3 linked regions of the Ovis aries genome follow. Each later gene encodes a partner of the first gene's protein in a complex. Links are inferred from orthologs where the notes say so. Each region holds a gene or a part of one and is shown in the gene's direction. Other genes may lie near its edges.

Region 1 (3,560 bases):
GCCCTCGACCAAAGTTTTCTGTGTCTGAAAGTCTTTAACTGATGGCAGATTAAGTAAGAGAAAATGTAGGTAGCTTGTCAAAAGATAAGAGAGGCCTCTTGTGTGACAGAGATCCTGGCCTCGTCATAGGCTTTGGAAGCAGGACATGGTCACCCTTAGGCAGTCAGGTTTGCGTTTGGGATCCTGGTAAAGGGCTACTTCCCTGTGCTGCTTGTGCCCCCAAAACCCCTCCCCCTTGCAGCCACCCTCCTTTGTATCGATGCTTGTGAGATTGCTTGTACCTAGAGTGAGCCCCTGGACATTCTCAGTTCAGTTAATGTTCCAGAAATACCAATTCTGAGCAAGCTGGAATGGTCAGTTACCCTGTGTGTTTTCCTTATAATGTGATCAGTTACGATGTTTTGCTCAAGTTTAGTTCCAGTTAAATAAATTGAAACTGGAAGAAGAGCCTTTGTAGAAGTATGAAAACTTCACAGCAGAGGAGTTGTGAGGCCGAGTTTGCTGTAATTTTGAAAAAGGGCAGGAGAAGAGGTAATGCATTCATGCATTATGTCTCTTTAGAGCCGGAAGAGAATGGCGATTTAGGGGAAACGCTTGATAAACTCAATAGTGCTATTGTTAGAGTTTTCACATGCGCAGAAACTAAAGCTCATTGTCTTGAAGTTGTATTTTTCTTAAAATAGAAATGCATGTGTTTTGCTTTTGTTTCTAAATTCTAAGTACAGCTGTTAACAAATAAATGGAAGTGAAAAAGATACTCTTCCTGGGTCTCTGCAGTGTTACTTTCCATAAATAGCTAATAAATTTCTTTGCTTTCCAAACATTTTCTTTGCCCATCCAGAGTCACACACACATGTGCCTGCTTTACAAGTTAGTGAGCAGAGCTCTTCCTGCATTTTGAGTGCATAGTATTCCATTGTGTGAAAAGTCTCTCTGGATCAGTCCCTTCTTGAAAGTCACTTGATTTGTTGCTAAGATTTTGTTACTACAAACAGTGTTCCAGTGATCATTGCTTGTATGTCTCATGATGTCTGTAGAAGGCGTTTATCTAAATATCATTGCCACGCTGACTTTCAGTTCACTTTTTTATTGTGACCCGTTCCATTGCCCTTGTAGCTTTGCTTTATAGTGCATTTGGTGTCATCATTGAGAAGACAAGAGGTGCAGAAGATGACCTTAACACAGTAGCAGCTGGAACTATGACAGGCATGTTGTATAAATGTACAGGTAGGTACCATTAAACGGTGGAACTGTCTCTTAATACAGTTGAAGTATGCTTTTTTGGCCATACTGTAGTTTTTAAAAGAATTTTTTTTTTTTGGTAGTGGTAGTATAGTGTTCTTTGATACCTCACGGTTTTCGATTTTATTTTTTAATTTTCATAAAATACACAAAAAATTGACCATCCAAACTGTTTAAATGTACAGTTCAATTATGTTAAGTATATTAACATTGTTATGCAACTCCAGAACTTTTCTTCATCGTATAAAACTGAAACTCTGCCCACTAAACAACAACTCTGTCCTCCCCCTTCTGCAGCCCCTGGCAACCACCATTCTACTTTCTATGAATCTGATTCCTTAAGGGACCTCATGGAAGTGGAGTCTTGTAGTGTTTTTCTTTTAGTGACTGGCTTATTTCATTCAGTATAACCTCACGGTGCAGCATGCATCAGAATTTCCTTCCTTTTTAAGGCTGAATAGTGCGCCATCGTCCGTGCACACACATACACCACATTCCATTCACTCATCTGTCGGTGGGCTCTCGGGTTGCTTCTGCCGTTGGCTGCCGTGCATGATGTTGTTATGAACATGGTGGAGTAAATCCTAAGAGTTGAATCAAAATTACCTGGATGAAGATCAAATATCAAATTGTCCTCTAAGATGGAAAAGAAATGAACATTTGCTGAGTTATGGTTATATTCTCAGTAGTAACCACTTAATGTATAACTTGTTAAACTCTGTGAAGTGATCATCACAATACCCCAGTTTTATAGATGAGCACATTAAAGACGTTCTTTTTCAAAAGATCATAAAACTAGTGACAGCCCCAGATTTTTCTCACATTTGTTTTAAATTGCCTAAATTTATGCCATAATTGCCTGTTTATGTTTTGTACTCAGGCCTCTGAACAGTACTTCTGATTGTTTTATTATGCTTCAGACACTTCAGTAATTTTTGTTCTTAGGTAATTCCTCCATCACAAACATCAAGTAGCATTTTTTGCCTCACTTTTACTAGAAATGAGAGTGAAGTCTCTCTTACAGGATTATAAAATCTAAAATTTCATGGTATGTCTGAGAGCGAGAGGCTTTTTTAATACTGAAAATGGTAACATTTGGAATTGTATCCCTAAGAGCTCACAAGACTTCTTGCAGCACGTGCCTGTTCTGATACACATCAGCAGAGCTCCTAGGCATAATAAGATAGGAAAGATCTCCTAGGCACAATAAGACAGGAAATATCTTTTGTATACACGAAAATGTTGGCATAGAAAAACCTTGTTAAAAACCTAAAAATACTTTCACACTGAAAATCTCTGGGGTCAGACAAAGGAGTTTAAAACCTTAATTGGCACCACAGGGGTGGCACTCAGCCAGCAAGTGTTTAATCGGCCCAAACTGTGTTTATGAAAGATCAAAGTAAAATTTAAGGAACAGGAGATTCCACACAAAAATCTGGAGATTTTAGCTTCTTTTGCAAAAATGGAAGACACACGGCTCACGTTGTGTACGGTAGCAGATGGCAGGAGCTGCTCTGGGGGAGCTGCTGCCCCAGGGGATGGACACGGGAGCTCCAGCTCAGTCCTCACCCGTCCCCGCTTTCTTACTCAGCGTCAGCCATTACAGCATTTCCTGTGTTGGGGGCAGCCTTAAGTATAAGAATGGACTGAATTACCACCTCGTTTAAGACACATTACACATATTTTAAAGACACAAAGGGGAAGGCTGAATACTTGGGATTATCACAGGAGAAAAATGAGAACCTAGTTTTCTGTGTCCAGGACTTCTTGCAGGAATAGCATCTTCCCAGCCTGGGACATCTCCAGCATAAATTATGGAAAAGAATGCTCATGGCTCAGAAGAGAAAAAGCAAAAAAGAATATTCATTAGTGCTTTGTCAGGTGACAAGTGGGTTTCCGTTTTTCAGATTTCAGTTTCCACCACAATTGTGGAACACAGAAGAGGTGAATGACCTGCTGACCCAGAATTCCAACACTGGTTCCTAGTTCCCAGCTGATTAGTTTAATTCAGCACATCAAAATTTCGGACGGAGGCAAAGCAGTGTCTTTTACTGATTTCTGGTTTAGACGCCACTTAAAGCACAGAATTTCATGTGGCAGGAATTTATTAAAAAACTCCCATATTCAAGGATTTGGAAAACAGTTTGGGTGCTCCTTCAGTCTAGAGTCAGCCTAAACCACGAAGGAAAGGAGACGGATGCTGGTAGCCCAGTGTCAGTGTACGTGACGCCACTGACGTGTACACTCACCAGTGGCAAATATTTTGTTATGTGTATTTTATCACAATTTTAAAAAGAATTTTTTAAAACCAATTTAAG
Region 2 (4,351 bases), on another chromosome or scaffold:
ACATTTTCAGGACTATTGGGTGGTAGTATAGTGTGGCAGATAAGGCCGTGTCTCCAGAGTCGAATGACATGGGCTCAAATCTGAAATGTGTGCCCTTGAGTGAGTTATTTACCCTTTCTGAGCTGCAGGAAATGGAAGACAAGAATCCTAGAAGTACCTGGAGAAAGAAGAACGCTCACTGCAAGCGCCATGGAGTTACTGAAGACGCCAATACGATGGCGCGCACAAGGCAAGGGGCGCTGCGAGCACTTGGCCTGTCCGCGCCGTTTACGGCCTCCCCAGCTTCCTCCCCAGCTTCCTCCCCGTCAGGGAGGCCGGAGGTTCCTCTGGCGAAGCAGACTCTGCCTCTGAAGCCAGCCCCTGGCCTGGCCCACACTCCTGGGAGGAGCGGAGAGCCCCAAGAGAGAGGGCAGAGGGCACACATCTTCCTGAAAAGAGGGTGGGGGAGGGGGGAGAGGGCAGAAAAGAGCCCACCTCCCCACCCCCACCCCTGCCCAGCCTAAACCCCCATCAGGCCCCAGTCATAGACCAGAGCCCCAGACCCAGAGCCGGAGGTGGTGCCAGCTTCACTCATCCATCAGGCCAGGTGGGGCTGGGGGCGGCGACCTTCTGCTGGGTGGAGCTGTTGAGGCACCCAAGCCTCTGGCTCACTGGAGCTCAACCCACTGGGGAGTAGGACCCTCTAAGGGGATGTCGGTTCTGAAAACGTGCATCCCTCTGCAGGTGTGAGTGTGGAGAAGGCTTCTCCCTTGCATCCTCCACACAAGATGCCATCAGTCTGTGAGCTCACTGTACATCGCTATTACCCTGGAGGGCAGACAGTCTGCTCAAGTGAGGGGAGAGAGAGCTGTACCTTTAGTGTCCTGGAGCTTGAAGACCCCTGCTCCAGGGGCAGTCCTGCCTCAGCCTTGTCAGGAGACCTGCTTATAGCAACGGTTTCCAAGGGGAGACCTTCTCATGCTCCGGTGTGTAGAAACCCCCACGGGTCACAGCGTCCCAGATTATCAAAAACATTTAAGGGACACCCACTACTTCCCAGCGCTGAGAGTCAAAGGACCTGGGCACTGCCTGCCCTCAGGAGCTCCGGGAAGTCGGTGGGGCCTCACCCACCCAGACGAAGTAGGTAGCATTCATGCACACTTGACAGCCAGGTGCTAGAACAAAGAAACGGGTCCAGGAGTTAGGGGAGCTCCAGCGGAGCAACCCGGGCGGGTGACTTCAGTGATGGGTACCTCTCCGCACCTGGAGCCCCGCCCCGCCCCCGGCACCCTACGCCCCGCCCCCGGCACCCTACGCCCCGCCCCGCCCTCTGCGCCGGAGCCCCGCCCACTCCCAGAGCCCTGCCTTCCGCCAGGAGCCCCGCCCCCAGCCCCGCCCCGCCCTCTGAGCCGGGGTCCCGCCCTCGCCCCGCAGCTCAGTCCCCGGCTCCGATTGGCTGCAGCGGGAGGCGGCCAGCCAATCCTCGCAGAGTCTAACGCTCTCCTCCTGGGATCACTTCCGCCGCCGGGCCGGCCCCGCTCTGTTCGCCCGGCATCGCGGAGCCGCGGAGGCAAGATGGAGGAGTACGCGCGCGAGCCCTGGTGAGCCTGCCTGCCGCCTGCCCCGCTGCCGCCTTCGGCCCCGGATCCCCGGGCCCCCGCGCTCCCGGTTCGAGGCCGCTCTCAGCTGCGGGCTGGGCGGCGCCAGGGGCCGGGGGCACCCGGACGTGAGCGGCCGGCTGGGGCCGCCGGAGCTGTTCCCGGTGACCTTGCGGCGGCTCGAGGGCGCCCCGGCTCGTCTGTGTCGCCGCGACCCCTGCCCGGCGGCGTGTGGGGAGCATCCCCGCTGCCCGCTGGCGATCCTGGGCTCGTCCTTGCGTCCGCGCGGCTCGCCCTGCGAGGGGAGGCGGCCGTGTCCTGGGAGGGTCCGCGTGGCGCGGCGGCTGCGGTCCGGGCGGTGGGGAGCGGGCGGTGGAGGGGGCCCCGCGTGGTGGGGACGGGACGGCGCGCCCAGGAGAACGGGGAGAGTGGAGTGTGCTCGCCAAGGCGCCGACAGCGGTCCGTTCGTTCGTCTGTCCCAGGAGTGAAAGCGTGGAGGAGTTCAAGCCTTCTGGGGTCAAGAATGACAAATCAGATCTTGTTATTTGAGTTCTTGTGCAAGAGTGCAGGGGCAGGAACCAGGGTGTTCTCCAGCTGTGTGAAAGGGCCCAGGGCTTTGACACTGCCCGAGCTAGCCAGGCTGCTGCTTCCTGCTGTTGTCCTCTCTGAAATGAGACAGAGCGTGTGTTTCAGCGCCTCCCAGCTCTTTAAATTTATCTTCTCCAAAGACAGTGGCCCCCCTTCGTGGGTGGTGCTCAGGTGTGCAGGGCTCAGCGCGGCGCCGCCGTTGTCACTTGCTCCTCCGTATGTGACACGGGGCGGTAGGAGGGGGAAATATGTGACTGTGTTGGGTTAAAGATTTTAGAATATTAAATTTCCATTCTCTATTCAGTTTGTTCAGTCTCTAGGTTGTGTCTGACTCTTTGCGACCCCATGGACGGCCGCACACCAGGCTTCCCTGACCTTCACTAGCTCCTGGAGTTTGCTCAAACTCATGTCCATTGAGTCGATGATGCTGCCCAACCATCTCATCCTCTTTTGCCCCCTTCTCCTCTTGCCCTCAGTCTTCCAGCGTCACGGTCTTTTCCAGTGAGTCAGCTCTTCACACCAGGTGGCCAGAGCTTCAGCTTCAGCCCTTCCAGTGGATATTCAGGGTTGATTTCTTTTAGGATCCATTGGTTTGATGATCTTGCAGTCCATGGGACTCTCAAGAGTCTTCCCCAGCACCACAATTTGGAAGCATCAATTCTTCGGCACTCAGCCTTCTTTATGGTTCAGCTCTCACATCGGTACATGAATACTGGAAAAACCATTGCCTTGACTATACGAACCTTTGTTGGCAAAGTGATGTCTCTGCTTTTTAATACACTGTCTAGGTTTGTCACAGCTTTCCTGAAAGGGGGCAAGTATCTTTTAATTTCATGGCTCCAGCCATCATTCGCAGTGGTTTTGGAGCCCAAGAGAAGAAAGCCTGTTACTGTCTCCACTTTTCCATCTGTTTGATGGGACCCGACGCCATGCTCTTGTTAGTTTTTTGAACGTTGAGTTTTAAGCCAGCCTTTTCACTCTCTCACCTTCATCAGGAGGCTCTTTAGTTCCGTCCTGAGTATGTCATAGCTTCATCTTCATCTCACTCTTTGATCACGTGTTCTCAGAAGCCCTTGGTCTGTGGTAGAAAGAACTTGGGGGGTTTGTATTTGAATTGGTTCTATCAATACCTGTGTGATCTTGCTCAAAGCGCTTCATCTCTTAGCCTCTGTTCATCTGTGAAATGGAGAGGAAACAGGAATATTCTTTTGCAAAGTTAAAAGACTAGGCACTCTATAAGGGCCTCCCTGGTAACTCAGATGGTAAAGAGTCTGCCTGCAATGCAGGAGACCCGGGTTCAATCCCTGGGTCGGGAAGATCCCCTGGAGTAAGAAATGGCACCCCACTCCAGTATTCTTGCCTGGAAAATCCCATGGACAGAGAAGCCTGGTGGGTTGCAGCCCATGGCATTGCAAGAAGTCGGACATGACTGAGCAGCTAACACTTCACTTCATAAGGAAATAGGCTGGCTTTCCAGAAGGTAAGGCTGTTTGCGTCATAAACCGCCTAAACCGTGTACTGTGCAGCCGCTCAGTCTTAGCTGACTCTCTGCGTCCCCATCCCCTTGGACTGTAGCCGCCAGGCTCCTCTGTCCATGGAGCTCTCCAGGTGAGAACACTGGAGTGGGCTGCCAGTAGATCTTCAGGGGATCTTCCCGACTCGGAGACTGAACCTATGTCTCCTGCACTGGAAGGAGGATTCTTTACCACTGAGCCACCGGGAAGCCCACCGTATTGGGTATTTAAAAATGGTAACTTTTGATCATGTGATTCATTATTGGTTCCCTGTTGCCCTGTGTTTGCCTGGCATTTATGTTTAGAGTCTGGGCTCAACTTAGCTTTGTGAGGGACACTGATTTCCGCAGACGCGGTTCGGAAGCTGTTTCCGTCTTGCATTTTTTTTATTATTATCTTTTTTTTTTTCATTTGTTTTAGACATCATCTTGTGGAATACTGTGGCTGCTCTCTGATCTGAATCCTGCTGTTTTTTACTGATTTTTAAAATGCTCATTTCCGTTCTGATCGTAGGATCATTAACCTTTTACAGCTAGTGACTCTCCTTTGTCTTTTTTTTCTTTTTTTCTTGGCTGCACCAAGTAGCTTATGGGATCTTACTTCCCCAGCCAGGAATCAAACTCGGCCTCAGCAGTGAAAGCACCAAGTCTTAACCCCTGGACCACCAGGGAA
Region 3 (4,105 bases), on another chromosome or scaffold:
ACAGAAGACCCCAAAATACACATCAACTGTCAGTGTTAAGGACGAAATGTCTATTCCATACCCCACCTCCCCTCCTCCTCATAGGACAGGAATAGGGGTCAGTAACACGTATTGTTGGGAATCCCTGGTAGCTCAGAGGTTAAAGCATCTGCCCGCAATGCGGGAGACCCGGGTTCGATCCCTGGGTAGGGAAGATTCCCCTGGAGAAGGAAATGGCAACCCACTCCCGTCCAAGTATTCTTGCCTGGAGAATTCCATGGACGGAGGAGCCTCGTAGGCTACAGTCCACGGGGTCGCAAAGAGTCGGACACGACCGAGCGACTTCACTTTCACTTTCTTTCACTTTCAACACGTATTGTTAACAAGGAAATGCCTGCCACCCCACTGCTTGGTGCACAATAGGCCCATGCTAGATATCAAGCGGCAGTATCCGCAACAAAGTGCCTGTCAAGTCGGGCACATGGTAGGCCTCTCTTCTCTTAGTTCTCTCACCAGGCTCCAAATGTTTGAGGATGCCTCTCTTGGCCAAGCGGGTCTGCAACGCAACAGGCAGCGGCATAGCGGATGGCAGACAGGCCTACGGAAGGACAGACAGCCTGAAAAACAGCTCAGATGAGGACTGAATCTGGTTACAAGAGTAACCAAGGGCCTCCCCGCAGCATGTACTCAATCTGGACCCCCATCTACACTAGGAGGGAAATAGACCCTACCCGCTGAAAGGTGGAAGGGGTTGTAAACAGCAATATCACCAACACTCTCACCAACTCCGCTCTCCCAGGCCAGTGGCTGCAGCACCGGGTTCCCGTCCTAGGCCCAGGCTCCGCCCAGCCCAAGGGGCCATGCGCGGCTCCCCCACTACCCAAAATGGTTTCACCCAACGTCCCCCAAAGACTGCTGGGTGGGAGGAACCAAAGCGTTGGGATGGGGGAGCACAGTGTAACACCTCCTCCAGCTCCAAAAAATGCACCCACCCCAAATTACCAATACAGTCACGCAAGTAGTGGACGACTTTCCAACTGGCCACCTCTCTCTCGTCGTCTCTATGAGCGCCAGGACCACACGACTCTCTTCTCCCAAAGCACAGAATGAGTTTCTCTCTCCCCGAGCTTAGACGTAACTGCACGACGCTCACGCAGTGAAAAGATGACGCAAACCTACCTAGCCAATGAGAATGCGCTTTGATCTGAAGTCTGGCGAAACAACAGAACCGTTGCCCTGGGATAGGTGGAAAGCTCGGGCGCTTGTATACGTTTCCAGTGGAGGTGTGGCCCGGCCAGGGTTTAGCGATACTGCGCGGCCGGACGCCGGCGCCATGGAGGAGTATGCTCGGGAACCTTGGTACAGCGAGGGGCATAGGTGTCGGGACTGTTGCTGCGGCGCCACGGCCAGCGGTGGGAGGCGGGTGGGGGAGGCACGGGCCACACAGCGCCACGTCCCAGACTCGGAACACATTTAGATTTTTGTTGTCTTCTGCTCCTCTCCACTTGGTTTCTCTTACTCGGGCTCCGTTAAAAGGGGCCACAATTGTGTGCCTGCAGAAGAAGGTTTGGTGCAGGACGGACCACTCCACGTTTTCCTTGATTCCGTACCTCCCAGCCCCTCTGTTAAAGACACGCTGGTCGAATCCATTCCAGCCAGGGGGTGGTGCGGTGTTGAGCGGGTATCCCCTGGAAAAACGCATGGTTTTTCCCAGGTCGCTTTGGTTAATGCTGGCGGGGCCTGGATGAGCCTGACCATGATTGTGGTCATGGAGGGGTGATGGGTCCTCCGCACTCTATGTGCTTGATTTTCCCCAGTTGTGCGAGGGTGAAAAGGGAAGAGGACGTGGCTTTGTTGGACGTGCTCATTATCGGAAAAAGGGGTGCTACCCCATTCTGCTTAAGGAACAGTGCCTGCAACACCTGTAGCGTAATTCAAACGTGCCAATTCTTTAATTAATGCCCTCTCATTAATTCATTTAATCTTTGACAGTAGTCAACCAGTTGGTTGATTCCCTGGTTGGCTGTGAAGGGGAGGGGCGGACAGGGCCAAGACTGATGTTTTCCCCTCTTCACATTATTTTTTGCTTAAATGAGGGGAGAAATAATCCCAGTATTATCTGAAGTGCTAGTTCTCATTTGGGTGACGTATTGCTCCCAGTTGGAAAGAGATCTTGTGACTTGGCATGAGGGAGCGCTCACATTAACCTCATCCTCCCCTTCCCGCTTGCAGCCCATGGCGAATTGTGGATGATTGCGGTGGAGCCTTCACTATGGGTGTTATCGGCGGTGGAGTCTTCCAGGCCATTAAGGGCTTCCGTAATGCCCCTGTCGTGAGTCCTAGCCTTCCCTGGGTGCTGCTGAGGTCCTGCCCTGACCACATGGGATACTGTTCTGAAACTGCTTGGAACTGCCAGTCACGTGCACTTATTCATTCTGGTGTCTGCTTACCTACTGTGTGGCAGGCCTAGCTCCAGGATCTGGGAGTTTGGGGGAACTGCAAACATGACCTCTGACCCTCACCCTGCTGGAGCTCCTCAGAAATGCTGTGCTGTCAAAAGGGTCATAAAACCAAAACCTAATTGTGTGCAAAGTCAGTCAGATTTTACCTAGAGTCAGATTCTGGGTGGGAAGCCTGGGAAAAGGGAAGTGACAGGAGTTTAACTGGCAGGAGGAGGACAGCCTTAAAGTTGAGCACATGCTTTTAATGTAACATAATCAATTCTCTCTCTCTGACAACACTCCCCTTTTCCCTTCTTGGGAGATCTCATCGAATGTCATGACTTTAAATGCTATCCACTTGCCAAGGTCTCTGCAATTTCTCTAGCCCTGTACTTCCTCCCAAATCCTGGCACTCTCTTTCCTGAATCTTTGTCCAGGTTTCTCCCTCTCATCCTCAAGGTCTCAGAACAAATGCCCCCTTCCTTTAAGAGGCCTTTCCTGACCTCTCAGCCACTGTCATAGCTCTTTATCTCATTTCCTCTAGGGTCCTGATTGCTGCCTGAAGCTATCTTGTTTATCTGAATCCTTATTCAGGATCTGTCTCTCCCACTATAATGTGAGCTCTGAGAGGGTAGGGGCCAGGTCTACCTTGTTCACTGCTGTATCCCTGCATATACCATGGTGCTTGGCACATCAGTGCTAAGTACTGAATGAATGAATAACTTCCTATCCTAGCTTTGAGAGCACTTGTAGTGGGCCCTAGTTCTTGGCCACTTCTCCACATCTGTACCCTTGAGGCCCCTAACAGGTTTCCTCCCTCCATTCCTCTCTTAAAAACTAGAAACCTTATCTGCCAGTGACCTGAACCCTGCTCTGACTCCCTTCCTCCTCACTTTCCCTCAGGGAATGCGGCACCGATTGAGAGGCAGTGTCAATGCTGTAAGGATCAGAGCCCCTCAGATTGGAGGTGAGAGGTTTGGGGAGACACGTATGATAACAGAGTTGGGAATGCTTGCTCCTTGGAGTCTAGACTGCAAGTTGAGGGTCCAGATTCTAGCCCCAACTCTGCCTGGGGCTTCCCGGGGGGAGTGTTATTTCTCGGCAGTTTCATACGGGTGAGTTGTGGAGTTTAAATCCAGGCCCTGGCTCTTCCCTGATGTCTGTGTGACCTTGGGCTAGTGGCTGAACCTCTCTGAACCTCACCTGTAACATGGGAATGATAAAAGCAGTAACCACCTCAATCAGTTTTGTCGTTTATGTAACTTACATAGTACTTACTAAGTGCTGGTTGCTTGCTAAGCACTTTGATAATATTAACTAATAAAAATTTTCAGAAGTCAGTAACATGAAGTGTGTAGATCAGGTCTTGGCACATGGTAAGACTTCTGTAAATAACTATCATTGTTAACTGGCTCTCCTCACCCATTTCCTTCTCTCCTAAACCCAGGTCAGATTCCAATTCTATGTGGTAGTTACGAAGGTCAGAGTTGCTCTGTTAAAAGCCGTATAGACAGAAGTTCCCTGGTGGCCTAGTGGTTAGGATTCTGAGCTTTCATTGCTGTGACCTGGGTTCAGTCCCAGGTTGGGGAACTGAGATCTTGAAAGTCCAATGACAGGGCCAAAAAAAAAAAAAAGCCACATTGAAGCAGACAAGTCTGCTTGTAACCACGTATCCGCTCCCTATG

The links. Proteins that work in one complex are often made in the same cells at the same time.
Region 2: mitochondrial import inner membrane translocase subunit Tim23 (region 1) and TIMM17A share a complex: the UniProt entries of both Homo sapiens proteins name them as parts of the TIM23 complex. The link is inferred for Ovis aries from reciprocal best matches to the Homo sapiens genes TIMM23 and TIMM17A.
Region 3: mitochondrial import inner membrane translocase subunit Tim23 (region 1) and TIMM17B share a complex: the UniProt entries of both Homo sapiens proteins name them as parts of the TIM23 complex. The link is inferred for Ovis aries from reciprocal best matches to the Homo sapiens genes TIMM23 and TIMM17B.

What each region holds. Positions count from the first base shown.
Region 1 is NC_056078.1:42,999,204-43,002,763, forward strand, and holds part of mitochondrial import inner membrane translocase subunit Tim23, read left to right. Parts: intron 1-1,116; coding exon 1,117-1,227; intron 1,228-3,560. UniProt on the Homo sapiens protein: Essential component of the TIM23 complex, a complex that mediates the translocation of transit peptide-containing proteins across the mitochondrial inner membrane.
Region 2 is NC_056065.1:79,927,909-79,932,259, reverse strand, and holds the start of TIMM17A (mitochondrial import inner membrane translocase subunit Tim17-A), read left to right. Parts: upstream 1-1,521; 5' UTR 1,522-1,554; coding exon 1,555-1,580; intron 1,581-4,351. UniProt on the Homo sapiens protein: Essential component of the TIM23 complex, a complex that mediates the translocation of transit peptide-containing proteins across the mitochondrial inner membrane.
Region 3 is NC_056080.1:56,177,419-56,181,523, forward strand, and holds the start of TIMM17B (mitochondrial import inner membrane translocase subunit Tim17-B), read left to right. Parts: upstream 1-1,275; 5' UTR 1,276-1,312; coding exon 1,313-1,338; intron 1,339-2,211; coding exon 2,212-2,311; intron 2,312-3,323; coding exon 3,324-3,387; intron 3,388-4,105. Other genes in the region: PQBP1 (polyglutamine-binding protein 1), read right to left, coding at 493-559. UniProt on the Homo sapiens protein: Essential component of the TIM23 complex, a complex that mediates the translocation of transit peptide-containing proteins across the mitochondrial inner membrane.